7 linked regions of the Sus scrofa genome follow. The protein of the gene in region 2 purifies or fractionates together with the protein of the main gene of each other region. This does not show direct contact. Links are inferred from orthologs where the notes say so. Each region holds a gene or a part of one and is shown on either strand. Other genes may lie near its edges. The genes, in order: RB1, DYRK1A, SEC16A, TRMT61B, LRCH3, LZTS3 and ANAPC4.

Region 1 (3,500 bases), on a different chromosome or scaffold from region 2:
ACAAAATAAGTAAATCCTCTCTCTCATCACTTCTATTCACCACTGTATTGGAGAGTCTAGCCAGAAAAATTTGGCAAATAAATGAAATAAAAGGGCATCTAGATTTAAAAGGAAGCAGTAAAATGACCTCAATTCATAGATGATAGGATTTGATATACTGAAAATCTTAAGGAATCCACTAAAAAACTATTAGAACTGATAAACGGCTTCAGCAAGGTTGCAGGATACAAGATCAACAGACAGAAATCAATTGTATTTCTATACACTTGTAATGAAAAATCTTACAGAGAACTGAGGAAACAAGTCTACAACAGAGTTAACAGGGAATAAAATCCTTTTTTAAAAAGTGCAAGACTTGTACTCTGAAAACTATAAATCATTGTTGAAAGAAATTCAAGATCTAAGTGAATGGAAAGACATTACATGTTCATGAACTATAAGACAATGTTAAGACAACAGTACTACTAAATTGATCTAGGATTAAAAGCAATCCCTATCAAAATTCCAGCTGGCTTCTTTGCAGAAATTGACAAGCTGATCCTAAAATTCACATGCAGGAGTTCCCATCATGGCGCAGTGGTTAACGAATCCGACTAGGAACCGTGAGGTTGGGGGTTCAATCCCTGGCCTTGCTCAGTGGGTTAAGGATCCGGCATTGCCGTGAGCTGTGGTGTAGGTCGAAGACTCGGCTCGGATCCCACGTTGCTGTGGCTGTGGCATAGGCTGGTGGCTACAGCTCTGATTCGACCCCTAACCTGGGAACCTCCATGTGCCGCAGGAGCGGCCCAAGAAATGGCAAAAAGACAAAAAAAGACCAAAAAAAAAAAAAAAAGGAAAAGAAATCAGTTACAGAGCTAACAAGTAAGGGGGAGAAGAGAAGATGTGCATAATTTTCTCACCTGGTCCAAATGCCTGTCTCTCATGAGTTCACACTCATTTTGCAGTGTGTGCTGGAAAAGGGTCCAGATGATATGCTCTAGTTCTGGGTGATCAGACAGAAGGCGTGCACACAGGGTATTGAGTCGAAGATATGCTAGTCGGTACACTGGAGAAATAAGGAGAATCAATCATATCTATTCTCGACTTATCACAAGTGGACTTTTTCAAAACATGAAATTGCTATAATCAAAATGCTGTTAAACAGCATTTTAACATTAAATTCATCTCTACCACTATTTCCCTTATGAATAAATGGTTTCTAGTCTTAGTGCCATGCTATATACATAGAAGGCAAATTATTACAGCATAAAACTGAGGCATAGGTGGAAGAAGAAAGATCCTAAGATATTGTGAAATCAGACCCAAAGAGGGTTTGTTTCAGTTCCACTGGTAATCCCTCATCACAAAAAATGTTGAAAATTCTATCAATATTCAAAAAGGATTCTTTTCCCTCTTCTTAGAGTTTCTGATTGAGTAATTCTAAGGTGGGGCTCCAAAAAAAAATCCTTCCTACAATTTACCAGGTGAGGTGGATTCAGCTGGTTGGGGACAACACTTTGGAAACACTGCTCTATCTTGCCTATGAAGCTCAGTATATTGCTGACTTGAATAAAATCAGAAAAAAAAAAGGTTTATCACAGAGGAATCTGACCTTTCACCTTCCTTCAAAGAGCTCCAAGCGGGCATGCACTTGCATGTATATACACATCCAACAGACACCAAATCACCTCCCCGCCCCGTCGCAACCCACACGCAAACTGAGAATGCCATGCCACTGGGCCACCCAGAAATGCAATGCACCAGGCCACAGCACACTGTATAATCTCAACTCACACACCTGAACAGCAAAAGTCATGATAACAGCAAATATTTCCAAACATAAACTTGAAAGTATAGCAGCAATAGCAACAATAACAACATCTAACACTTTCTGAGTGCTTACTATGTGCAAGGCACTGTTGGAAGTATTTTATGTATTAATTCATTTAATTACCTCAAAACTCATAGGGTACATTATTATTATTTCCATCTTATGGAAGAGGAAACTGTGGCACAAAGACATTCAGTGACTTTTCCAAAGTCATGCTTACTAAGCAGAAGTGCCAAGATTTGAATCTAGTCAGCCTGGTTTCAGAGTCCATACTCTTCAAGTTAACATCTACTGACCTTTTTTGTAAAAGAGTGAAAGGGAGGTAGATTTCAGTGGCTTCTGAGTCTGGAAGGTTGAGGTTGCTTGTGCCTCTGAATTTGCAGTAGAATTTACACGTGTAGTTGACCCTTTTTTCTTGGGGGATCTTAAAGGAGAAAGATACCTGGATATATTCAAAGGAAAAGTCTTCATTTGAAGTTTGCTAAGAATCTCCATCACTTTCTGTCTCTCTCTCTCTCTCACACACACACACACACACACACACACACACACACACACACACACACACACACACACACGGCTGTAGACATGCATCCAAACACATCTTGTCTATTTAATCTGTTATTCTACACCAAATTCCTACTTAAATATAAGTTGGAAAAAGGAGCTTAATAGGAAAACTAAGCTTGTCATCATTTCTAATTTTATTTTAATAAATGGCTTCTAGTGGGAATTCCTACCTTATTGAAAACCACAGCTGTATGTGTTTATATGTTCGATTTTAATAATTATAGTGTATAGTGTATAGATGTAAAATGACTCCTAATTAAAATAATAAGCCATTGATATCAAAATATCAATTTCTCTGATTCTTTGTTTAAAAATGTTTCATTTATAACTATGGTCCACATATAGAAGACTTAAGTTACACACACATATGCCTTCCTAAATTACCTAGTATAGAATTACATGACTAATATTTCAGATAGCATTATTAAAGCAGATTTACACCTGTATACTAAATATGTCAGGCATAAATCAAGGCAGAGATATTAGGAAGTACTCTCTCTCAACTTCTGACTTTCTACTGCTCTGTGCTATATTTATTTTAGAGGGAAACTCCAGATCTACTTTCTAAATTTTTTTTTTTAGTAACAGAAGTAATTCTGAGCAGGAAGTAGACGTGCGCCTTACTACAGACGTTTCTACCACAGGCAATCCATTACCTAGTGCAGCAGGAAAGGGGAATCACCATCACGACCGTCTAAGGATCAGGATCTAGTCTCCCGTCACACTTGCAATTCTCCTCAATTCGCTACCAATACTGTAGACTGACTTGACTTGGGTAGAAGTTAATCTCCCTTGAATTCCGGGTGAAAATATTCACTTACTTACTAGACTTCAGATTTGAGAAGGCCAAAATGGAATTCTTGATTTTCCCTCCATTTTTCCCATTTCAAAAAATGGCTCCACATTACATCCAGTTTATTAAGTCACTCTAGGAGCTATTTTTAATTTCTTTCCTTTTCTCAATCTTCAAGGCCAATGCAAAAGAAAGTTCTATTAAATCTTCCTCTAAAATACACCCCAGATCTGTCCACTTCTTTCTCTCTCTACTAACATTTCTTAGATCAAGTCATTTACATTTCTCACTTGGACTATTCCAATTGTCTCCAAACTGGTCTTATTT
Region 2 (4,011 bases):
TTGCCTTTGGAATGGATTAGCAATGAGATCCTGCAGTGTAGCACTGGGAACTATGTCCAGTCACTTATGATGGAGCATGATAATGTGAGAAAATAGAATGTGTACATGTATGTGTAACTGGGTCACCATGCTGTACAGTAGAAAAAAATTATATTGGGGGAAATAATTCTTAAAAATAATAAAAATATATATTAAAAAAAACGGACTCAAATTTAACTTGGTGTTAAAGGTTGCAAATGCTTAAGGGTCCTGAGAGAAGTGAAACTGCCTGAACAGGATGGGGGTGGGGAGCAGGGAGAAGAGAAAGAAGCAGGAGGGAGGAGGTGGCAGTGTAAGCTGGGGAGCCGTCAAGATATCAGCCTCTTACCCCAGCAGGGACGCTTTTGGCCACTTCCTCCTGTTTAAGATGATGCAATGTAAATCCAGGTTGTAGTTAATTTAACAGAAAATAAACTGGAAATTAAACCACCACCCTAACTCCCCCCCACCAGAAAACAATCAAGTTGAATGTGGACTTTAATTACATTAGCAGGGCAATTTTGAAAGTCCAAAAAAACTCTTGATAGTCATGGCAGTTTGTGATACCATGAGAATCGGTCTAAGCTATTGGCCTACTTTTTGCCTAATTTATCTAAAGTTTAGTCTGTTTTCTTTCACGGTCTGTGCTAATTTCAATGGATGCCTTAGTAAATCAAGGTTCCAGTAGCCAGAGAAGAGAAACATTTATTGGAAACACTCGTGTCTTTCCTTGAGTCATAGAGGATTGAGCTCAGTATTTACTGTGGGGTTGTTTTTCTTTACTGGTATCTGCTGCTGCTTTACTTGTGAACAGTCCAAGCTTAAGACAAAATTGATACGAACACTATCATAAGATGGCAAAATCAAGCTTAGAAATCAATCAATAAATTAGGGACTTGGTGTAAAATAATATCCATAGTATCCTTTTTGGCAAAGATTAAATGCCATTTTACTAGGAATGGTACAAAATACAATTTTTAGCCAGTGGCTGTCTACTGATTACAAAGTAGCCAGTACAGCATGGCTACTTCCATACCTAGGTTTCAATGCCGAGAGAGAACACCTAGTAATATTCAGCCAGCCAGAGGGGTAGACAGAATAAAGATAAACGAAAGCGAGACTATTAATCAAGAATTGTGGGCGAATTAAAAATCTGGAAACTGAAATGGTGCATGAGAAAGAAAATCAGGGAGTTGGACAACGATACGGTATAGCCTAAGACGATTAATTTTAGGGGCATTCCGATGGAGAAGGAAGACTGCCTGAAAGGTGGGGAGGGGTTTGAAATCGGTGGGAAAGCCCGGCTGAGCATGCACAGCCTAAAAAAGTTTGTATGATGGCTCCGTCCATGATTTCTGAACGCTGGCACTGGCCGCAGCAAAAAGCCGAGTGACATGATTTAATCAAGGTGTCAGCCGCAGGGGCATCCCGGATTCGGGCGAAGCGTCCGGAATTCCTGAGATGTCTGAAACGCGGAGGCGGCCTCTTCCCCACCCCCCACCGCGGCCTCCGTGGGCATTTTCCGGCGAGGGGGGCACGCGGGGCCTTCCAAGAACAGTTTAAACGCGCGGACGTGCGCTGCCGGCGCGGTCCCCGGGGATGCAGGTGAGAGTCCCCAGCGCGGGCGCACCGGAGTGGGCTTCCTGGGTCCCCGCGCGGCCGCAGAGCCCGGCCCCCTCCCCCCGGCGCGGGCGGGGCTGCGGGCGCACGACGCGGAAGCGCGGGGCTCCGGGGGCGGCGGCGCGGAGGCCGCGCGCGCTCTCCGGGCCGCAGTCGGCGCGGGCGGCGCGGGCGCGGCGGGCGCGGGGCGGGGCGCGGCCGGGAGGCCCTGGGCGCTGGAGCACAGGCCGGCCGCCGCCTCGCCCCCCTTCCTCCGCCCTCTCCCTCCCTCGGCCCGGCCGTCCCCCTCCTCTCCCCTCCCCCGAGCGAATCACGCGCCCTCCTCTGACACTCGTAGCGGGCCTGAGCTCCGAATTTATCCTTCACGTGACCTGAGGGGGTTGGGTGGTTGGTTGGGGACGGAGGGGGAGAGGGAAAGGAGGGAACGGAATCTGCCGTTGCCCGAGCAACAGGCCCCGCCCGCCGGCTTGGGGCCGGGGGGCGGGAGGAGGACGTCAGCACGTCAGCCGGGGTTTTGCGTTTTGATTGACAGTTGCTATAGCGACCGGGTCGGTCCGTCGCCATTTTGTTGGTTGGTTTTTTTTTAAACCCTTTCGCTTCCCGCCCGAATAATAATAAAAAGCCCCATTGGAGTGAGGCGGGGGTGGCGGCGGCAAGAGCGGCGGGGGGATCCGGGGAGACTGCTGCCGTCGCTGCTGCTGATCGCGGCCCAGGTCGGGCTCAGGGAGCGGACACCCCGAGCGGGGGGTGCGGGCGCCGCCGCCGCCGCCGCTTCTGCTGCTGCTGTTCCTGCTGCTGCTGTTGGTGCCGCTGCCGCCGCCGGCGAGCGGGCGGGACCGGTGTGAGTGTGAGAGTGTGTGTGTGAGTGAGCGTGTGCGAGTGTGCGTGCGTGTGTGTGTGTGTGAGTGTGTGTGAGTGTCTGTCTGTCTGTGCGGGCGGTTCTGGCTCTCCTGGCGGAGGAGCCGCCGCCGCCGCCGCCGCCGCCGCTCGGGCCCCGGCGCTTCTCGCTGCGCAGGTTTGGAGCGCGCGCCATTTTGTGAGATTTACAAAATCCTCCTCGGGAAGAAGCCGCCGGGAGCAGCCGCGACTCGGCGCCCGGCCTCGCCGCCGCCGCCCTCCGCGCCGGGCCGGGCCGCGCGGCCCCGCCGCCGGGAGTCGGGGTCCGGGGACTGCGGTATTTGCCGGGGAGGGGGCTGTCGCCTCCCCGGCCCCGGGCGCCGCTGGAACCGCGAGCCGGAGAGAGACTGAGAAGGCTGCGGCTCGGCCGCGGAGCCGGGAGCGCCGGGGGCGGAGAGAGGCGGCCGGGGCGGCGCTGGCTGCGGAGGCCCCGGCGGGAGCGCAGCGGCGGGAGCCCAAGGCTGAGACTCACCGGAGGAAGCGGCGCGAGCGCCCCGCCATCGTCCCGGTGAGTGTCCGGCCTGGCCGCGGCCCCGCCCGGCCCTGCCCGGCGCCCGGCTCCCCCCGCGGCCTGCAGCCGGGCCCGCGCCGAGGCCGGCCGGGCGGAGGGAGGGACCTGCCATTTTAGGAGGAGGCGCCGCGGCCCGGGGCTGGCCGCCGGGGGAGGGAGCCCGACGGGCCCGGTCCCGGAGGAGAGGCGGGTGCGAGCGGAGGGAAAGTTGCCGAGGGTGGGAGCCGAGGCCGCGGCCTCCCGGGAGCCGGGGCCTGGGGGCCGGAGAAAGCGCCAGACCTTCACTGGTCGCCCGAGCGAAGGGGAGGAGGTTGTCTTCCTCCTCCTCCTCCTCTTCCTCCTCATCCTCTTCCCCCAGCTCCTCCCTCGTCCCTCCTCTCGGTCCCCACCAGTGTGGGAACGGCCGGGGTTCTCCGCAAGGACAATGCACGGGTTAAGAAAATGGGGCTGGCTGCTGGGCGAGGCGTCGGGGAAGGTCGGGCGCCCGGTCCCCGCGCGGCCCTTGGGGCGTGGGCTGGAGCCAGGGCCCTCGGCGTGCTCCGAAGTTGTGCCGTGAGTGCGAGGGAGCCCGGCCCCTGGACGTGGAGGAATGACCTGCTTAGCGGGCGGAGGAGTTGGTGGCTGAGGATGCGTAAATTGGGACGGATACCTGCATACTGCCACAAAACTTCGCAAGTCTGTTAATAGGCACAAACCCACTCCCGCTTAGACCCACCGGAGCTGCTGAACAGCTCAGCGCTCAGCCGAAGGCCCCTGCCGGGTCTGAAGTAGCTAAAAATGGCAGAATTAGTGAGTGACTCTGACTCCTTCCCTGTGCCTGCCGTCCAACCCTAGATGATAGGGCTGGATCTTGTAATCGAGGTGCAGTCCTTGAATGCCAGCACCACTCCGCCCAGGTTGTCCGAAAATCCACCTTATAGCATTGTTTTCACATTGATTTAAAGATGAGGAGGAAGCGTGCGAGG
Region 3 (3,500 bases), on a different chromosome or scaffold from region 2:
GAAGGAAGTGGCCGCTCTGCTGGCTCCCCGGCCTCGGCGCGGGCGAGCAGGGCGCGCGGAATGTCAGCCCCTGCGTGACCTGCTCAGGGTCAAGGGACCCCGTCTCCTCCACAGTTTGCCGTTTTTCAAGTTTGCGACCAACGAAGCCATTCAGAGGACAGAGGCCTACGAGTACGCCCAGTCCCTGGGGACACAGGCCTGCTCCTTACCCAGCTTCCAGGTGGGTGGGGACCGCGGGGCGCCAGCTCCCAGGTGGGCCAGGGCTCTGTGCGGACCAGCTGCAGAGCCCGAGGCTGTGGTCTCTCCTAGAAAACGAGGCGGCGATTTTGGAAACCTCGAGGCGTTTGCTTTTGATACTCGAGAACTAAAGCCTGTTGAATTGAGTTTGAACTTTGGTTCTCAACATCTTGAACATTAGAAACATTTGGGGAGGAGTTCCCACCGTGGCGCAGCAGCAACGAATCCAACTAGGAACCGTGCGGTTGCGCTTCGCTCCCAGGCCTTGCTCAGTGGGTTGGGATCTGGAGCTGCGGTGGCTGTGGCGGAGGCCGGCAGCTGCAGCTCCAATTCAGCCCCTCGCCTGGGAACCTCCACGTGCCGCAGGCGCGGCCCTAAAAAGCAAAAATCCCCCAGAAAACACAAAAACATTTAGGGGAGTCCCTGTTGTGGCTGAATAGGTTAAGACCCCAACTAGTGTCCGTTAGGACGCAGGTTCCACCCCTGGCCTCGCTCAGTGGGTTAAGGATCCGGTGTTGCTGTGGCTGTGGTGGAGGCCGGCAGTTGTAGCTCCAGTCGGACCCCTAGCCTGGGAACCTCCATGTGCGCGGGTGCGGCCCTAAAAGCAAAAAAAAATAAGTAGCTCCAGGCACGAGCACTGGCATTGCTGTGGGCAGCGAGGGGGCGCCAGGAGAGACATGACGTGTTCAGAGCCGCGTCAGCCTGCAGGGTGGTCACGGGGCGAGGCGGGGCCCGGGAGGAGGCAGTGTCCCTGACTCGGTCCGTCCGTCCGTCCGTCCGCTCAGGTGTTCAAGTTCATCTACTCCTGCCGCCTGGCCGAGATGGGGCTGGCCACGCAGGCCTTCCATTACTGCGAGCTGATCGCCAAGAGCATCCTGGCGCAGCCCCACGGACACTCCCCGGTGCTGGTCAGCCAGCTGGTCCAGGTAACGCCAGCGACGTCAGAGCCGCGCTGACACTGCGGCGGGGGGGGGGGTCAGTGGGGGCTCGGGACAGACGTCATGACAGCACTGAGACAGTGTCCCCGCGGGCACATGCCAGCCGTGTCCCGGTGACACAGGGACCCACCTCCGGGGAGCGCGTCCCCGGCACCTCAGCCTGGCAGTTCCCGCGGGGGCCCCTGCTGCCCGGCAGCCCGGCTGTGGGTCCCGCTGGGCCCTCGCTCCGTGGGACAAGGCGGTGTGCCGGCCCCCAGCCTGGGGCCGCGGCCGTGGGGCCCTCCCCACCAGGACGCTCACTTTTGAGAGCGAGCTTGCGTGAGGCCAGAAAGAGCTTCCGTCATGGAGGGTGTTAGACACACACAAGACGCCAACGAGGACGGGTCCCCGTCACGGCCCCAGCTTTAGCCGTGAACTCGAGGCCTAGCTCGTCTCCCCCATGTCCCCCTCTCCTCAGCCCCTCAGGCCGCAGGGCGCTCGGGGTGGTCAGTGGAGGAAGGAGGCCGAGTGAGGCGGGCCCGCCCCCTTGGGTCCGGGTGCCCGGGCTTCAGGTGGCCGGTCCCGGGCCAGGCTCTTCCTGGGCCGTGTCACGGGAGCGCCTTTCAGAGACGCTTCCGCATCTTCCGTCTGCACCCCCAGCTTGGCTCTGCAGACTCCTTTGCTCTGGAGCAGCAGGTCCTAGAACCTTCCCGTGGGAACAGGCCTTCATCTCTCGTGTGTTTCCAGGTCGCCTCCCAGCTGCGCCTCTTTGACCCTCAGCTGAAAGAGAAGCCAGAGGAGGAGGCGCTGGCGGAACCCGCCTGGCTGGTGCGGCTGCAGCGCTTGGAGAAGCAGGCCAAGGTGCCAGCTGCTTCGCGGTGGGGCTCGACCTGCCCTCGTGCTGGGGCTGGTGGGGGAGGGAGAGGCTCTGGGGCCACCGAGGGGGGCGGGCGGGGCGCAGGGCGGCATCCGGAGGCAGGACGGCTGAGGTGTGTCTTCCGCAGGAGGGCACCGTGGCCTGGAGTCAGGACGGGGCCTTCCCGCAGTGCGGTCCCAGCTCACCCAGCTCCGAGGCGGGGCCCTGCGATGGTCCAGCAGTCGCCCAGCCAGCAGATCTGGGCACTGCCAACCCTCTGCTGGCACCCCCTGTGCCCGGTGCGGAGCACTTAAGCCAGGACGTGCGGCTGATGCCCTCCGGTGAGCCACTCCGGGTCCTGGCCGCTCTCAGGCCGCCCCCTCTCCGGTCCCTCCCGTGCTGCGTCCACTGGGTGTCAACGGCATCAGGGGTCGGGACGGGCCGGGGGTGGGAGGCCTCTCAGACCTGGAGGTGGAGGAGGGCAGGGGAGGCCTCAGTGCGGGCAGAGCCAGCCCCGGCTCAGAGGCTGCTGGGGGGTTGTGTCAGGGCCGCTCCGAGGCCCAGGGCCCCCCCGTCCCTCAGCGAAGGAAGGATGTCCGGCAGAAGCACCGGGCACTCGTGACCTCAGACCTGCTCTTGCTTTGTCTCCATGCAGCTCCGCTGTTGCTCCCCGAGGGCCCGCTGGCTGTCCCCGCCAAGGGGCCAGTGTTCCCGGTGCCGCCTGCCCTGGGCCCTGCTGAGCTGGGGCCTGGCTGCGGGCCCTCGGGCTGTGCACTGGGCTTTCCAGAGCCCCCGGGACCTGACCCTGCAGCTCTGTACCCAGGGCCCGGCCAGCCGCCTGCCGCACCGTCTCTCCAGGAGGCCCGCAGCCAGGACCCAGGTGGGTCCGCCCCGGGGCCGGCCTGAGCGCGGAGCTCTTCGGGTCTGGTGTCTGAGGCGGTGGCTGCGGGAAAAGACCTCGCTGCCTTGAACGTGGGGCACAGGGCGCTAAGCGTACGCCCAGCGTTCGGGACGTGACTTGAAGATGAGTGACCCGGCTTTTTGTGGGGCATGACGTGGGAGTGGGTGCCCAGGGCGTGGCCTTGAGGGGCCAGCCTGCAGCCCTTGAGGACACACAGGAGGCTGTGACCCTGCTCCCGGAAAGCGGCTCCTGACCCCGGGCTGCGCGGCTGACTGTCCGCTCGGCCAGCCTGGTGTTGGCAATGAAACTGTCTTCGCACACTTGGGGGCATCTGAGACGTGCGGGGGTGTGGAGGGCGGGCCGTGTGTGTCTCCGGTGCCGCCCGCTGCTCCGGGGGCCTGGCTCACACGGGTTCTCGCCTCCTCCACAGGAGGGACGCCGCAGGGGGCGCCCGGGAGAAGCGCGTTTCCAGAGCTGGAAGAGGATTCCGGTGGGACGTTCGCTGCCGTGGTACTTGCCCGTGTTTAGAAAGCTTCTTGTTTTCCTGCGCTCCCTCGCAGAAGTACTCAAGTTCTTTGCTCTTGAGTGT
Region 4 (3,500 bases), on a different chromosome or scaffold from region 2:
ACTAACTAAATGACATTGTTTCTCTTTACCTTATGTTGTCATAAGCCTTATGACACATAGGCTAGTCCATCTGAAAGTATGTATTATCTGAGGACTCCTCAGATTTTAGAGTGAGGCCAAGGGAAAAAAGCAACGTATCAAACCTTAGTCTTGGGTCATGTAGTCAGGCATGAGACATTCCAACTGTTATATAATCTAAAATCAAATAATTTTTCCTTAAAAAGAAATCCTCTCTGAACTTTACTTTTGTTATTATCACTGTTTCAGTCATCCCAGTTTAAAATCCTTAATGAAGATATAATCAGGGCTTATCAATTAATGATGTGATAAGGGCAGTGCTAATGATATGATCAATGCAAAAGATTACAGAATTAATTCTGTAGGGTGAGAGACATGGTAAAGTCTTCTCTAAGGAAGTAAGTTATGAGCTGGGCATTGACTGAATCCTGTTTTGCCCAGAGAAACAAGGGAAAGGGCTTCTGAACAGTGGATGAAAGTTTGAATATATATAGCTTCACTCCCTCTCCATCCAATCAACCATCAGCTTGTCTGGTCCTTCCTTCACAATATTTTTTTACATCTGCCCCCTTTCCACACCTCCTTGTTGTATATTACTACCAATCACTTCATAGCTGTACACTATGTATTACTATGAAGTTTCTGATCTAATAGTTTTTCCCTTCCTTTAAATACTCAGATACCACCAACAGACTAACTTTTAAAAAATACCTCCTTTTACATGATCATGGAAACTTTCAGAAGTTCCCTACTGACTCTGACATATAAAGTTCAAACTCAAGGTCTTCCAGAAATCCACAAGCTATGTACTAAAATTTCCCCCTAGAACAACCAAGTCAACAGATGAAACAACATCTGATCCAGTGTAGACTCTGAGCCATTGTAAATTTTACTGACCATTTATTGAGTGAAAAAGTCAGGCTCTCTGGGAGTTCCCATGGTGGCACAATGGTAACGAACCTGACTAGCATCCATGAGGTTGTAGGTTTGATCCCTGGCTTTGATCAGTGGGTTAAGGATTCTGCATTGCTGTGGGCTGTGGTATAGGTTGCAGATGCGGCTCAGATCCCATGTTGCTGTGACTGTGGCATAGGCAGGCAGCAACAGCTCTGATTTAACCCCTAGCCTGGGAACTTCCATGTGCTGAGGGTGTGGTGTGGCCCTAAAAGACAAAAAAAAAAAAAAAAAAAAAAAAAAAGTCAGTGCCTCTGGAAGTTACTGGGAATACAGCTTTGACTCAATCACAGATCTCTTGGAGTTTATATTATGGTAAATGAGAGCCAGACATGAACATAGAAAGTTAACTTTAGAAGAAGGCATCTGTCCCACAAGCCAGATTGTAAACATGCTTAGTATTCAGTGGAGAGATGGATAAAGGGCTTAACCTGGACTTTGATAACTATATAAATAAATGTTTATTTGCCTATGTAGTTTGGTTTTCAACTCAGTATTAGAAATGGACACTGTTAGGTTTTATTCAATGCAACATCTACAAAGCACAGTGTACTGAACACAAACTTTTCTATGTGAAATAGGAGAAGGCACAACCTTTCTTTGCTCTGCAGCCAACCCCTTTTCCAGGGCCTGCATTCAAAAAAGATAAATGAAGGGCAGAATTTCACTAGCAGTTAAATAGAAGAAAGGGGAGTATTCCATGATGGAATTTTAAAATGTGAGAGCTTCTATATGTCTAGAAATGTCATGAAAATTTTAAAGCCATTATTGTTGTATGAGTGTTCAGATATTTTATAGGAATGGTACCAGAAGACTACCCTACTTATGATTCAATCAGTTTTAGTTTTATATTTGTGTGGTTATTTAATGTCTAGCTATGCTATAAGCTGTAAAAAGGCAGAGATTTTAGATGAAATTTTTCCACATAGTGAAAAATATGTACAGTGTTAGTTAGAATACATGTATTATTTTAAATACTCCTAGTCTAAGGGGTAAGTAGCATTTACCCTCCCAGGTACTACTACTTCAAAACTGTAAAACATCTATATTTAAATAATAACTATAAGCTTTTGTTAATCTGTAAAACATGGATAACCTTAAGGATGAGCTATACATATTAAATGAAAAGACATTATAAACTTCTTAAAACAATGTAAGGTAAATGTTAAACTGGTGCCTATGAATACTCATAAGCCCTAGTCCTATTTAATTCATATTTATAAAGTGTATCTTTCCAAACATTCAATTTCTATAACAATAGAATAATTCTGATGTTCTTTCAAATTGTTAAAATGAGGCTGAGAAGAATAAAAGATTCAAGAATTGTTACTTTTTTGTTATAATTTTTAAGACAGTTATATCATTCTTATCAATTTTCTCCCTATTATTTACTATAACCCAGATTTGTTATTTTTTAAGATACATACAAGCCATTAAAATATGTATTTAAAATACACAGGTACATAAAATTTATCTTAAAGTGCATATTTTATTTTGGTAGCCAATGACCATCAATCAAACAAAGAAAAGAAAACTAATTTCATGAAGAAAGACAAATCTATGGAGTGGTTTACAGGAAGTGAAGAATGAGATGGCTCAACTAAACCAACTTGGAATCATTAACTACAAAATGTCTAACTGCAAGACAAGTGTCAAAATGGGACATTTAAGGAGTTTTGAAATGTTACACATCTTTCTTGAGCTTTTGTTACTTTTTCAAGATTACATGTAAAAGTTACACAAATCATAGTAATAGCTAAAAATACCAACCTACAAAAGTAGTGATTTGTAATATAAAGTTTTATTTTAATATATATCTGTCTTCAAATCAGTTGTCATCTGAGGTACTCAGTTAAGTTGTGGTTTGCACTTCCTCAACTTGACAAGAAAGGCTAGTTTAAGGAGAGAAAAAAGTAAGGTCATTACAATAATGGGAGAAAACACCATATAATACAGCCTGAAAAACATTACTCACCCGTATGACCAGTTTGCCAGTGTATAGGTCTAGCAATATAGGGAAATGATCCATAGGGAAAATCACAAGGTGATTCTTCTGTTATAGAACAAAATATGTGTTGTAAGCTACATAAAATATTTTATAGTTTGTTCACAACACTGTTAAAAAAAATTACTGTGAGAAGTTTTTTTCTTTCAGACTTTTTTTAAGTACTTATTTTGGAGCTACTCTGAAAGTTATCTTACAGAAACTTGATTAAGGATTACATGATAAACTTCTGTATGCTTTTATGGTCAAACGGATAAACCCATATCATAAGTCAATGAATGTCTGAATGCCTAAATAATGTGTACATACAACAAGGACCTAAACTTAGTTCTTTGAAAAGTTCCCCCAGCATCTTAGAAGCTGCTTTTTGGAATATTAGCTATTTACATGTCACATCCTATTAAAATTCTTTCCATTCAGTGATAATCACTGATCTAAATTTAAAACATTCTTTAGGAGTTCCTGTCATGGTTCCTGTCAGGAACCATGAGGTTGTGGGTTCGACCCCTGCCCTTGCTCAGTG
Region 5 (3,500 bases), about 67 Mb from region 2:
ATAATCCAAGGTAATTTCAGGGAAAAAAAAAAACAAAGTAATATAAGCAAAAAAGTAAGCTTGATTTAGAGGCAACTATAGAGGCTGTAAAATGTTTATAAAAGCAGTATTAACATGGGTTATTAACTGGGTAGGCGTGGAGAAAACAGAAAGGAAAGAATCAAAGATGACTGTAAAGTACTAAGCCTGTGAACCTTTCAAATTGTTGGTATTCACTAGAAATAAGAAAGTCAGAGACAGGTTCCGATAACAATAGTTTATACTTGCATGGTGCTTTACAGCTTACAAAGCACTTCCATTTTCATGATGCACTGGAGATTGAGAAAATGGCAGCTGGACAGTAAAGTGATATGTCTAATGACAGGTTGCTAATGAAGAGCAAGAGACTATCACTGTCCTAAAAGCAAGATCAATCACTTCTGATTGTCCTCAAGCCTATCTGCATACGAGGACATCTAATCCACAAGCAGGAGACAGTTATACTATTTAGTTAAGGTTTCTCAATTAAAACATCAACTTTTTTTTCACTAAGACAATAAAAACTGACAGCCTCAGCGAAACAAATAAGCACTTCCAAGAAACTTTAGGAATATTATTCATTGAATCTAAAGGACTCACCTTGACAAAGTCCAAGACGGCATCTCTCTGAATCTGCTTGGTCCTTATTTTCTCCTCCTCATACTGCAGGGCAGCAAGCTGTGCCTCTCTCCTAGTACGTTCTACTAACTGTTCTCTTCTTCGATGAAGTTCTAAGTCTGTATGTGAAAACTGGAACAAAAGTATCATTTTGCATATGCAAGTAGGGATAAAGAGCAGCTTATCAATGTTCTTTATCAATTTGGGAAATTACTGCTGACCCAAGCAACTTTTACTTCACAGTTATCTAGCATTTCTTTAGATGTGTTTACTGCTAATCTTTTCCTATAAAACCATCGTATCGGTAAAGACTTATTTTCTGTCTGGCACCTAAATCACTGTTAGCAAGTGTCAGGTGCACATATTATATGAATTGTATGACTGAGGAGTGAGAGAGTGAAATTAATAGATATTTGGCAATTAACTGTAATTTAAGTATTATAAAAGAAGAACACCATCTTAAAGAAAAAACCCTAAACTAAAACTGAAAAAAATATTTTTACCTGATTGTGACTTGGTGATAGTGACAAGAGAGAAGATGGCTCAACTGGAACCCTGACCCAAAAAAGATAAAAAGGAAAGAAAACACTCTGATAAGACAGATAAAAGACAAGTAGAATTTTATTGTTAATATAGCTCTCTATTAATCAGCAGGCAAACTGGTCAGCACTGAAAGGCCAGTTACGTTTTGTAAACTTGAGCCAAGGTCATTAAATTAAGCTAGGGGAACACCTGATGTCTCCAACTCACATTTCATCCTCAAGCTACAGACAGCTAACAACTGTCTATGTCAGCCAGCGCTGACAATACAGTTATTTGAGATCACTTTTCAAAGACTATCATTTCTCTATAGCACACAGAACTTTAATCTTCTTTACTATTATGACTGAAACAAGATACATGTAAATAGAGATGGTTTTATATACAAAGCCATTTTATCAACAGAAATCTGGAATACTATACAACCTGGTAACTGCGCCTGTAGGCACTCCTATTCCCATTTTAACTGAAGAGCAATTTTAATAACAAAAATAAAGATTTTGCTAATTTTTATCTTTAGAGAAAAATATGAAACCTGATTTTATTTTTTTTTTAAAAACAGTAAAACCTGCTACTCAGTTCTATCAGGTTATTTCCTATACTTCGGTGTTTATCTTTTTCCTGAATTGGATTTAGTTTTAAGCCTCTGTTACTCATCTGTGTCTTGTAAACTAATAATTTTGGAGCAATGACTTCTTGACATTTAGAACCTAAAATTTTTAACTATGATTATTAGCCTGTCAGGTTGATCTAAATGCATTAAATTAGTAAGTTATTAGGGAAATGAAAACAAATCCCTCAAAGATCCAGTGGTTTATTATTTTCTAATAACAATAATACAAATTCTTTAACCTGGTGTTCAGGACTCTCACTCCATTTAATAAATATATCCACTACGAAATCTTTTCTTTAGCAAGATCTCTTCAGTTACCATGTGTAAATTCCTTGCTTCAAACTTTTTCCAAAGACCCAACCGAGAGAGATCTTCCTGGAAAAGGTCTTTTTTATTTTATTATTTTTTATTTTTTTGCTTTGTTGGACCACACCCAAAGTATATAGAGGTTCCCAGACTAGGGGTCAAATTGGAACTACAGCAGCCGGCCTACACCACAGCCACAGCAATGCAGGATCTGAGCCGTGTCTGGGACCTACACCACAGCTCATGGCCATGCCAGATCCTTAATCCACTGAGCAGGGCCAGGGACTAAACCCAAAACCTCATCTAACTTCCTAGTCAGATTCATTTCCACTGTGCCACAATGGGAAATCCAAAAAGGTCTCGTTTAGAATTTTATTTTTCTGTAAAATTGGGACTTTTTCCCTTGATGTACACATGTAATCAATACTTGCATATATAAACTCACTTGTATCATTTTTTGAACAATATTTTTCAGAGGCACAAAGAAACTAACATTCCTTGAGCTATTACCATGTACTACATACACATACCCTGTAAATTACTTTATAAACATGCGTAGTATTTCTCAATTACCCTTTACAACAAGAGAAAACTATTATAACCCTTATTCTACAGTTGAAAAGCTGAGGCATGAAAGTTAAGTAACTTTCCCAAGGTGACAAAGCCAGCAAGTTATAGAGTTGAAGTTGAAATATCTATTTGATTTACCCTCCTCAACTACTAGGTGTGCAGCTATGTGAACTGGGAGAGACCTCAGAAATTGTGGAGTCCAAGCCACTAATTTTACAAATGAGAAAACCGAGGCTCTCAGAGGTTAAGTGATAGCTACTTACTGGCAGAGCCTGGATTAGAATTCAAGCTACTTGACTTGCAGTTTAGTGCTTTCTACTATACAACATTTCCCCACTCTACAGCCACAGAATCTAGGAAGGAAAAAGGGAAAGCACAGAGATTTAAAAATACGTGGGCATAGGAGTTCCTGTCGTGGCGCAGTGGTTAACAAATCTGACTAGGAACCATGAGGTTGCGGGTTCCCTGCCCTTATTCAGTGGGTTAACAATCTGGCGTTGCTGTGAGCTGTGGTGTAGGTCACAGACGTGGCTCGGATCCCGAGTTGCTGTGGCATAGGCCAGAGGCTACAGCTCCGATTCGACCCCTAGCCTGGGAACCTCCATATGCCGAGGGAGTGGCCCAAGAAATAGCAAAAAGACAAAAAAAAAAAAAAAAACATGGGTATACATTAAAAAAAAAAAATTACCTGAGATGGCAAAAACTAAGCTGTGAAAAGTTAAAGATGGAAGCAAAGGAAGAAGCAGGGCATATGAGAGAAAGAAAGTGGTAGTCAGGAAGACATTTCTGAACTGACAGTTGCCCCCAGCCAATCACCGGTGGTATGTTGGCCCAT
Region 6 (4,219 bases), on a different chromosome or scaffold from region 2:
ATCTGTGCCCCTCCTAAAGCTAGGAACACTCACCCTTCTCTTGGGGTCTCAGAGGCCCCAAGCTCAGCCCACTCAACCCCTAAAGATCTCACCAGCCCCTCCTGCCAGCATCCTTGCTGGGGGCTTCTCACTCACATTTCTTCCTCTGCACTCCCTCCCCTGTGCAGCTGCTGAGGGACACTTTCTAAAGGGCAAAGCCGTTGTCCCTGCTCTGCCCGAATTCTTCCATGAACAGCACCAAGTGCAGTAGACAGAGTTATGGAGGCATCAGCTCCAAGTGTAAATCCCAGCTCAACTGATTAGAGGTGGAACTGCATGCAGGTTATTCCACCTCAGATTCTCACACCTACATTACAGGAATGTTAAGAAGTGAATGTATTATGGGTAAATGCCTGGCATTCCTCTCAACCCTCAGAACCAAGGTAGAGCTTGCAGCAGAGCCCCCAAGGCCTCTCCTGCTGCTCATCCTATGTCCCCTGACCTGAACCCATCTCACTCCATGCACAAAATCTGTTCTCAGCTCCCTGTGCCCATTCTGCATCTTTCAAGGACCAATCCAGATGCTGCCTCCCAGGACAGCATTCCTGATCTCCCCTGCGGGAAGAGGTCTTAAAGCACTTGGCTCAGGCTACTCCAAGATTTCATTCTGAGGCATCTCCAGGGCTGGACTGTGGGTGCCCCCGCAGGGAAACAGACAACAGAGTGTTGGGGTCTTTAGGCCCTGGCACTGAGGAGATGCAGAGAATGCATGTGGGAAGGCCAGTTATGAGCAATGCAAAGAGGCAATGAATCCGGACGGGAACATCAGGAAGGGCTTCTGGGAAGGACTGAGGGAGAAAAGGTATCGGGGTCACAGTAGGGCTTTGAGGGTGCAGAGGTCTCCAGAACTTCTTGGTTGGGATGTGTGAAGGGAGATCCATCTTCCCTTGGCGACAAAGGGGGAAGGGATCCATCCCTTAGATCCTGGCTCTGATGAAACCCGTGCTTCAGGACTGAGGGGGCTGACAGCGCCCCCACACACACCCCGAGGACACACGCGCGCACACACGAGCCTCCTGCACGGGGGGTGGTGTGGGGGGGTGCACGCCATTCACCAGCAGCCCGCGGCCCGCAGAGCCAACAGAGACCAGGGCCCCAGGCCATCCCGAGGAGGTGCCCGGGGAAGGGTCTCTGCAGTGGTTGAAATCCCTCCGGCACCTCCCGGTGCTCCCCACCAACGCGTGTGGCCCGGGGGGCGGGGCGCAGAGGGAAGAGGTGACATAATCCGGGCCGCACCCCCTCCGGCCGCCACCATCCCCCAGGCCCTGCGAAGCATCCATGACATCATCGGCCTCATCTCCACTCCCCTCACCCCGGGGACCCCCAGCAGTGGGACGCACCCCCTCCCCAGCTCCAGGTCTGACTCAACGAGCCTCGCGGTGCAGCGGGCACAGCGACAGGTCGGAGCTGCAAGGAGCGCCGCGGAGGGCCTGCCTCACTTACTCGCTGCCTCAGGGTCCGGTGCGGGGTCTTCAGCACGGGCGCCACCGGCCCCGCTCGCTGGCGCAGCCAGAAGCCCGCCCGGCGGGGCGCGAGGCGCGGGCCCGGCTCGGCTCCGCGCCCCTCCCGCTCCCCGCCCGGGCCCCGCCCACCCGTGGCTGCGGCAAACGCGGGCCCGCCCTCCGGCCACGCCCCCCGAGCCCGCCAATCCCCGGTCTGAGGCGGGGCGAAATGCCTTAACCCCTTCGTCGCTGCATACCGGTCCGCGTATGGGACCCTCTATTTCACCCACCCTAGGGCTCCGCGAATCTGCACCGAGACTCCCTGCTGATACCTTATTGACCCCCAAGGCCCTTGGACTCAGCCCCCAGTCTCTCCTCTTCAACAAATCCAGTAGGACAGCGCCTTCCCTGAACCTCACTTCTTTGGCGACAAGGAGAAACCCTCTGGCTTGGGAAAGGGACTCTAGACGCCAAGCCCCGAGCTCCAGTTCGCCCCCGCTCCTGCTCTTCCGGGCGCGGCCTCCCAGCGGACGCCGTAAGACCCTGCAAATCTGCAAGGTGGGGGCGGGGCGAGCCGTGGCGCGTGGAACCAACACGGCGCAAGGAATATCCGCTCCGGCGCCGGGACAAGCAGGTTTGAGGGGAAAAGAAGGCTTCGATGGTCCGTGACTGCGTCCGTCCCCAATTGGAGCCGGCTTGAAACTTGCTTCTCGCCAAGGATCACAGTCCGGAGGAAAAGGCGGGGGACGGGGAAAAAGATATAACATTACAATCGAGCAGAGAGTTTGAGTGCTTCACCCAGTGGCCGGAACCTGGCACGATGCCCGGCCCCTCGCAGTGAAAGGGAGTTGGGGGGATGCTCCAATACGGAGCACCGGCTTCGCTTGCCGGGAATGAGAGAGGACTGCTCATTCCCCCCCAGGTGGCCTGGGAGTACTGCCGGGAGGAAGAAATCTGTCTGGAACTGAAGCCTTAGCCTTGACTAGGGCAGGCAAGCAAGCCACGCCTAGGGTTCAGCATTAAGAAAAGCCTGGAGGCACTAAGGGTCTGTCTGAAAAACTGCAGCGTCTCCACTTGGGCTGGTATTTAACCCATTGTAGCTTTACTGTTACAGATTTATTCGTTTTGTCATTAGTCATCTCATTTTATAGTTTTAATTTGCGGCTATTGCCTGTGTTTTGAATTTTTCTATATTTGCTTTTATCTCCCATAGTGACTTGCAAGGCAGAAAATCTGTTTTTAATTCTCCTGGTTGTTGCCTTATAGTTTATCAAATAAAAATGCGGTTTATATTTGACAAATTATTAAAGTCAATAAGTCATTCATTTTTATGTTCCTCCTTATATAATGAGTAATTTAATATACCTATACCTTTCCATCTCTTGGCCTGATATCCTCACACTTTTTTTTCTTAGGGCCGAACTTGCAGCATATGGAGGTTCCCAGGCTAGGGTAGACCCGGAGCTCCAGCTGCTGGCATACGCTACAGCCACACCAGATCCAAGCATCGACTGTGACCTACACCCAGCTCATGGCAATGCTGTATCCCTAACCCACTGAGCAAGGCCAGGGATTGAACCCACATCTTTGTGGATACTAGTCTAATTCTTAACCCACTGAACCACAGTGAGAACTCCTCACTTGACTGATTTTTAAGGAGAACTCCAGGATGTTATGTTTTTCTAAGTCTTTGCTCTAGATGAGAATTTTGTAATGGCTTTACACATTTGTGTGTCTACACACAAATGGTGGCTTCACTGTTAATAGAATTCTTCAATCTCAGACTTTTCCTCTCAAGATTCTCTTATCCTTATCTCATTGTCTTTTGGCTCTTAAGATGGTAGCAAGTACACCTGAAACTAATAGAATGTTATCTGTCAATTATAGCTCACCCAACACCCCCAGGAAAGGTAGCAAAGCTGGGCTGGCCTCTGTTCGACAAGTAGTTCACCTGATGCTTGTTGGGATTTTTCTTTTTTTTTTTTTTTTTTGGTCTTTTTGCCTTTTCTAGGGCCGCTCCTACGGCATATGGAGGTTCCCAGGTCAGGGGTCTAATCGGAGCTGCCGGCCTACGCCAGAGCCACAGCAACTCGGGATCTGAGCCACGTCTGCAACCTACACCACAGCTCATGGCAACACCAGATCCTTAACCCACTGAGCAAGACCAGGGATCGAACCCGCAACCTCATGGTTCCTAGTTGGATTCGTTAACCACTGAGCCACAATGGGAACTCCCTTGGCATTTTTCTTTACGTTCAAAAGTCAAACATTGCCAGTATAAGTTTCAGTATAGACATTTTTCTATTACTTATCCAGAAATAAAAAAGGTATTATTTTCAGCTGAGATGTTTTCTATTTTCCTGTCCATTCTGTTGACAGATTGTTTGGATTTTTTTCCTCCCCTAAAATATTATTACATTGGATCATCACTGTCAATTAAATCTCTTTGTCCCTTTTCTCTGCATTCTGAAAGAGTATCTCAATTTTTTTTCCCCCTTGGCCACAAATACAGCTGGCATGTGGATGTTCCCCAGCCAGGGATGGGATCTAGCCACAGTTTCAGCCTGTCCCATAGCTGTGGCAATGCCGGATCCTTAAAATGATGTGCCAAACAGGAATTTCCAATTTTTTTTCTTTTTTGGTCTTTTTGTATTTTTAGGGCTGCACCCACGGCATGTGGAGGTTCCCAAGCTAGGGGTCTAATCAGAGCTACAGCTGCTCGCCTACACCACAGCCAC
Region 7 (3,500 bases), on a different chromosome or scaffold from region 2:
TGCATTGCTGTGGCTCTGGTGTAGGCTGGTGGCTGCAACTCTGATTCAACCTCTAGCCTGGGAACTTCCATATGCTACACCTGCAGCCCTAAGAAGAAAAAAAAAGTTCCTTGCGTGAAGGTCAGGTGATACAGATGACTTGTTACTAGACTTAAACAGTGACAATCAGTCACTTTCTGTGGCATATTTATCTGTGTGTACATACATGCTTTAATTATATTTTTAAATCTTATTTTATTTAGGATGTAATTGGAAAATCAATGAATCAAGCAATATGTATTCCATTATATAGAGATGCTAGAAGGTAATTTTTTTTACCTTTTGGGTCATACAATTCAGTGGCCAATTGGAATTTTTCTTACCTTTTTTTCCCTTTTGTTTTAGTGAGGACTCCACACGGAGATTGTTCAAATTTCCTTTTCTGTAAGTGTGTGTTTCTCTCTTCCCTCGTGCGAACAATATGGGTTTGTTCTGTGCATTGATAGCTAAATATCATGTTTTGACATTAATTTTTCTCCTTAGGTGGAATAATAAAACTTCAAACCTACATTATCTTCTTTTTACTATTTTAGAAGATTCCCTTTATAAAATGTGCATCTTAAGGAGACATACTGATATTTCCCAGTAAGTATTAATCTGAATTTTGAATCAAAGAGATAAGATTTTGTTGTATTTAATAACAAAACATATAACTTCCCTTCCCTCCATTTAGTTAAGCTACCTTATGATTTTAGGCTTGTTAACGGTTCTTAGTCTTAGTTTTCACATTATTAAGGTGATAATGCCAAATTAAGAAGCTACGTGATTCCTTCTAGTTCTAGGTTATTTAATTTTGCCTTGGTGTATAGCTGTTGCATGTAGGCTGTTTTTAGGGCTAGAAAATAGAACACTCATGGTGACATCTCATGAACTTGTACATGTTCAAAACTCTATTTTGAGTCCCTTAAGGAAAGGATTTTTACCTCTGGTTAAGTATGGCTTTCATTAAACAAGAGACCTTCTTTTGAGAATCCAGATAAAAGTTCTGAAAGACAAATCATCTTCAGAATGTCCCTATTATCTTAAATGCTTTTAAATCTAAATTCGACAGAAATTTTTTGAAGCCAAGATGTAGCCAAAGAGAAATAATTTGGTTGTCTCAAACATCTTCATTTTATAAGGTGTCTTGCTGCTTTGGTGACTATGAGATTTTAAACCCAGTTGTAATTTTGATGTTAGGTTTAAATTAGGCATCGGGATTCTAGAGGGAGTGTCATGGTGTCTTGGCCTGGGATTTGGTGATTAGGTAAATGTACGAACACTGACAGTCATGTTCTTTCAGGCTTATTTAGATTATTGTCTCTCCATGTTGTCCTACAAAGTCTCTTTCTCCCCCTTCTTTCTTCAAGGTCTGTAAGTAATGGACTAATTGCTGTTAAATTTGGGAGCTTCACATATGCCACAACTGAAAAAGTGAGACGAAGGTAACTCCTGACTGTTGTTTGGATGCAGCGTGTGTATAGTAAATACAGTTACAGGAATAGGGTGAGACTCGGTTACAGTGATGATGTGCTTAGAAGGCCTTTGTCACTCACAACATAGGGGCCTGGGTTGGTAACATATTTTATCCTTAGAAGATGATTTGACTTAAAATCCAATAGAACCTTACTGCCCTACAGGAGTGTATGTAGCATGGTTTCCTGTAATTGATACCTCTGAGCTCTCTGTCTGCTGAGAGAGCAGTGTGGTTCAGGGGCAGGTGGCTGAAGTCTTCTTATGATCACCAGACATGTGAGGTGGTACCGTCACTGCCATGGGATTTTCTTAGGGTGCACAGGGTAACAATACCTGTGTCATCCCGAGGCTTTGCAAGACAAAGAACTGACACTAATCCTGAGCAGATGTTTCTGTCACTCTTAAAAGGAAGTTCTTTATGCTACTGTCTTTGAAGTTGTTGTGTCTTTTCATATGTAAATCTTATTTTTACTTTTCATTCTAGTTAAGTCTGTTTACTATGTGCATGCATGTGTGTGTGTGTGTGTGTGTGTGTGTTCATATAACATTCATGTCAAGAGTTTTCTGGAACTAACATGATGGAGGATAATATGAGAAAAAGAATGTGTGTGTCTGTGTGTGTGACTGTGTCCCTTTGCTGTACAGTAGAAAAATGACAGAACACTGTAAACCAACTATAATGGAAAAAATTAAAATCACTTAAAAAAAGTTTTCTGGGGAGTTCCCGTCGTGGCTCAGTGGTTAACAAATCTGACTAGGAACCAAAAGCTTGCTGGTTCAATCTCTGGCCTCACTTAGTGGGTTAAGGATCCGGCGTTGTTGCCATGAGCTGTGGTGTAGGTCGCAGGCGCGGCTCGGATCCCCGTGTCGCTGTGGCTGTGGTGTAGGCCGGCGGCTACAGCTCCGAAATGACCCCTAGCCTGGGAACCTCCACATGCTGTGTGTGTGGCCCTAAAAATACAAAAGACAATAAATAAATAAATAAGTTTTCTGGAAAGCCAACTTCGCAGGTTTTTCTTTTTTCATGATTACCCATTAATATTTGTAAATAATCAGTATAACGCATACCTGTGACTTTAGTGTAAACTAATGATATCTTTTAAATGTTACCGTGTGGAATGTGGCTTGATGTTTTTATTGTCGGTTTTTCTGCTTGGTACCAGTGCAATGTTATGTATACAGTATTTCCTCAGTTGTGATCTATCTTTGATATAACAAAACTTATTTTAATTCTAGCACCTACAGTTGTTTAGATGCACAGTTTTACGATGATGAAACGGTAACAGTAGTTCTTAAAGACACCGTAGGACGTGAAGGAAGAGATCGACTCCTGGTCCAGTTGCCATTGTCTGGGGTGTATAACAGCGAAGACTCTGCAGAATATCAGTTCACTGGGACTTACTCTACCAGGTAACTAACTCGTTAGTAAGATTGTCGTTCTGACAGAACGGTTCATTTTTTTTCAGTGTATATTGTACTTTCTAGTTCTTTAGGTATGATAGATAATAGTTGCTAGGGATGATCATAAAGTCAGCTGGGCAGAAATACTCCTTTTAATTGAAAAAATACTGATTTCAGCAGTACTTCTGTCCTTTTGCTTTATTAGTAAATCAAGAATTACTTGCTTACACAAGGTAAGGGATTATTTGGGGTGGACAATGGAACTTCTCTTTCACAGGTATCATTAACCCCAGTTTGTAGTAGAATTATTTTAGATTTTGCCTTTAGTATTTTCCTTTAAAATTTGGACCTCGGTAGCCACGTGGAGGGCCCATTGTCCATTCCAAGAGGTGGCTTTAGAGTGAAATTTAGGTAGGATTGCTTCTCTAATTTAAAATGTGTCTATTGGCTTTCCTTGAAAGTGCATCAAACACCTGACTAAGATTTCTGCTTTAATAAAATATTCTGCCTGTTTGGAAGTACAGTATTTTCACAGAATATAGTGTCACAGCATCTTTATACAGTAGCTGGTAGAGTTATGTTGGAACTGGGAATCTTGGCAGAAA

Evidence for each region.
Region 1: the proteins of DYRK1A (region 2) and RB1 purify together in Homo sapiens (affinity purification with mass spectrometry; 4 studies listed by BioGRID and IntAct, with this or other methods). This does not show direct contact. The link is inferred for Sus scrofa from reciprocal best matches to the Homo sapiens genes DYRK1A and RB1.
Region 3: the proteins of DYRK1A (region 2) and SEC16A purify together in Homo sapiens (affinity purification with mass spectrometry, with the first as the bait; 3 studies listed by BioGRID). This does not show direct contact. The link is inferred for Sus scrofa from reciprocal best matches to the Homo sapiens genes DYRK1A and SEC16A.
Region 4: the proteins of DYRK1A (region 2) and TRMT61B purify together in Homo sapiens (affinity purification with mass spectrometry, with the first as the bait; 3 studies listed by BioGRID). This does not show direct contact. The link is inferred for Sus scrofa from reciprocal best matches to the Homo sapiens genes DYRK1A and TRMT61B.
Region 5: the proteins of DYRK1A (region 2) and LRCH3 purify together in Homo sapiens (affinity purification with mass spectrometry; 3 studies listed by BioGRID and IntAct, counting the BioPlex papers as one, with this or other methods). This does not show direct contact. The link is inferred for Sus scrofa from reciprocal best matches to the Homo sapiens genes DYRK1A and LRCH3.
Region 6: the proteins of DYRK1A (region 2) and LZTS3 purify together in Homo sapiens (affinity purification with mass spectrometry; 3 studies listed by BioGRID and IntAct, with this or other methods). This does not show direct contact. The link is inferred for Sus scrofa from reciprocal best matches to the Homo sapiens genes DYRK1A and LZTS3.
Region 7: the proteins of DYRK1A (region 2) and ANAPC4 purify together in Homo sapiens (affinity purification with mass spectrometry; 3 studies listed by BioGRID and IntAct, with this or other methods). This does not show direct contact. The link is inferred for Sus scrofa from reciprocal best matches to the Homo sapiens genes DYRK1A and ANAPC4.

Annotation. Positions count from the first base shown.
Region 1 is NC_010453.5:19,199,136-19,202,635, forward strand, and holds part of RB1 (retinoblastoma-associated protein), read right to left. Parts: intron 2,253-3,500; coding exon of another isoform or gene 2,235-2,252; coding exon 2,107-2,234; intron 1,046-2,106; coding exon 900-1,045; intron 1-899. UniProt on the Homo sapiens protein: Tumor suppressor that is a key regulator of the G1/S transition of the cell cycle. The hypophosphorylated form binds transcription regulators of the E2F family, preventing transcription of E2F-responsive genes.
Region 2 is NC_010455.5:201,007,295-201,011,305, forward strand, and holds the start of DYRK1A (dual specificity tyrosine-phosphorylation-regulated kinase 1A), read left to right. Parts: upstream 1-1,211; 5' UTR 1,212-1,623; intron 1,624-2,924; exon of another isoform or gene 2,925-3,043; intron 3,044-3,309; exon of another isoform or gene 3,310-3,598; intron 3,599-4,011. UniProt on the Homo sapiens protein: Dual-specificity kinase which possesses both serine/threonine and tyrosine kinase activities. Exhibits a substrate preference for proline at position P+1 and arginine at position P-3.
Region 3 is NW_018084833.1:1,281,649-1,285,148, forward strand, and holds part of SEC16A (protein transport protein Sec16A), read left to right. Parts: intron 1-114; coding exon 115-220; intron 221-1,022; coding exon 1,023-1,163; intron 1,164-1,901; coding exon 1,902-2,015; intron 2,016-2,158; coding exon 2,159-2,351; intron 2,352-2,665; coding exon 2,666-2,890; intron 2,891-3,341; coding exon 3,342-3,421; intron 3,422-3,500. UniProt on the Homo sapiens protein: Acts as a molecular scaffold that plays a key role in the organization of the endoplasmic reticulum exit sites (ERES), also known as transitional endoplasmic reticulum (tER).
Region 4 is NC_010445.4:110,396,923-110,400,422, reverse strand, and holds the end of TRMT61B (tRNA (adenine(58)-N(1))-methyltransferase, mitochondrial), read right to left. Parts: intron 3,026-3,500; coding exon 2,948-3,025; intron 2,865-2,947; coding exon 2,821-2,864; 3' UTR 2,563-2,820; coding exon of another isoform or gene 2,474-2,562; 3' UTR 151-2,473; downstream 1-150. Other genes in the region: SPDYA (speedy protein A), read left to right, coding at 2,474-2,562.
Region 5 is NC_010455.5:134,500,079-134,503,578, reverse strand, and holds part of LRCH3 (leucine-rich repeat and calponin homology domain-containing protein 3), read right to left. Parts: intron 1,192-3,500; coding exon 1,140-1,191; intron 769-1,139; coding exon 619-768; intron 1-618. UniProt on the Homo sapiens protein: As part of the DISP complex, may regulate the association of septins with actin and thereby regulate the actin cytoskeleton.
Region 6 is NC_010459.5:32,506,093-32,510,311, reverse strand, and holds the start of LZTS3 (leucine zipper putative tumor suppressor 3), read right to left. Parts: upstream 2,801-4,219; 5' UTR 1,483-2,800; intron 1,425-1,482; exon of another isoform or gene 1-1,424. UniProt on the Homo sapiens protein: May be involved in promoting the maturation of dendritic spines, probably via regulating SIPA1L1 levels at the postsynaptic density of synapses.
Region 7 is NC_010450.4:19,335,753-19,339,252, forward strand, and holds part of ANAPC4 (anaphase-promoting complex subunit 4), read left to right. Parts: intron 1-242; coding exon 243-304; intron 305-384; coding exon 385-423; intron 424-522; coding exon 523-624; intron 625-1,388; coding exon 1,389-1,463; intron 1,464-2,730; coding exon 2,731-2,904; intron 2,905-3,500. UniProt on the Homo sapiens protein: Component of the anaphase promoting complex/cyclosome (APC/C), a cell cycle-regulated E3 ubiquitin ligase that controls progression through mitosis and the G1 phase of the cell cycle.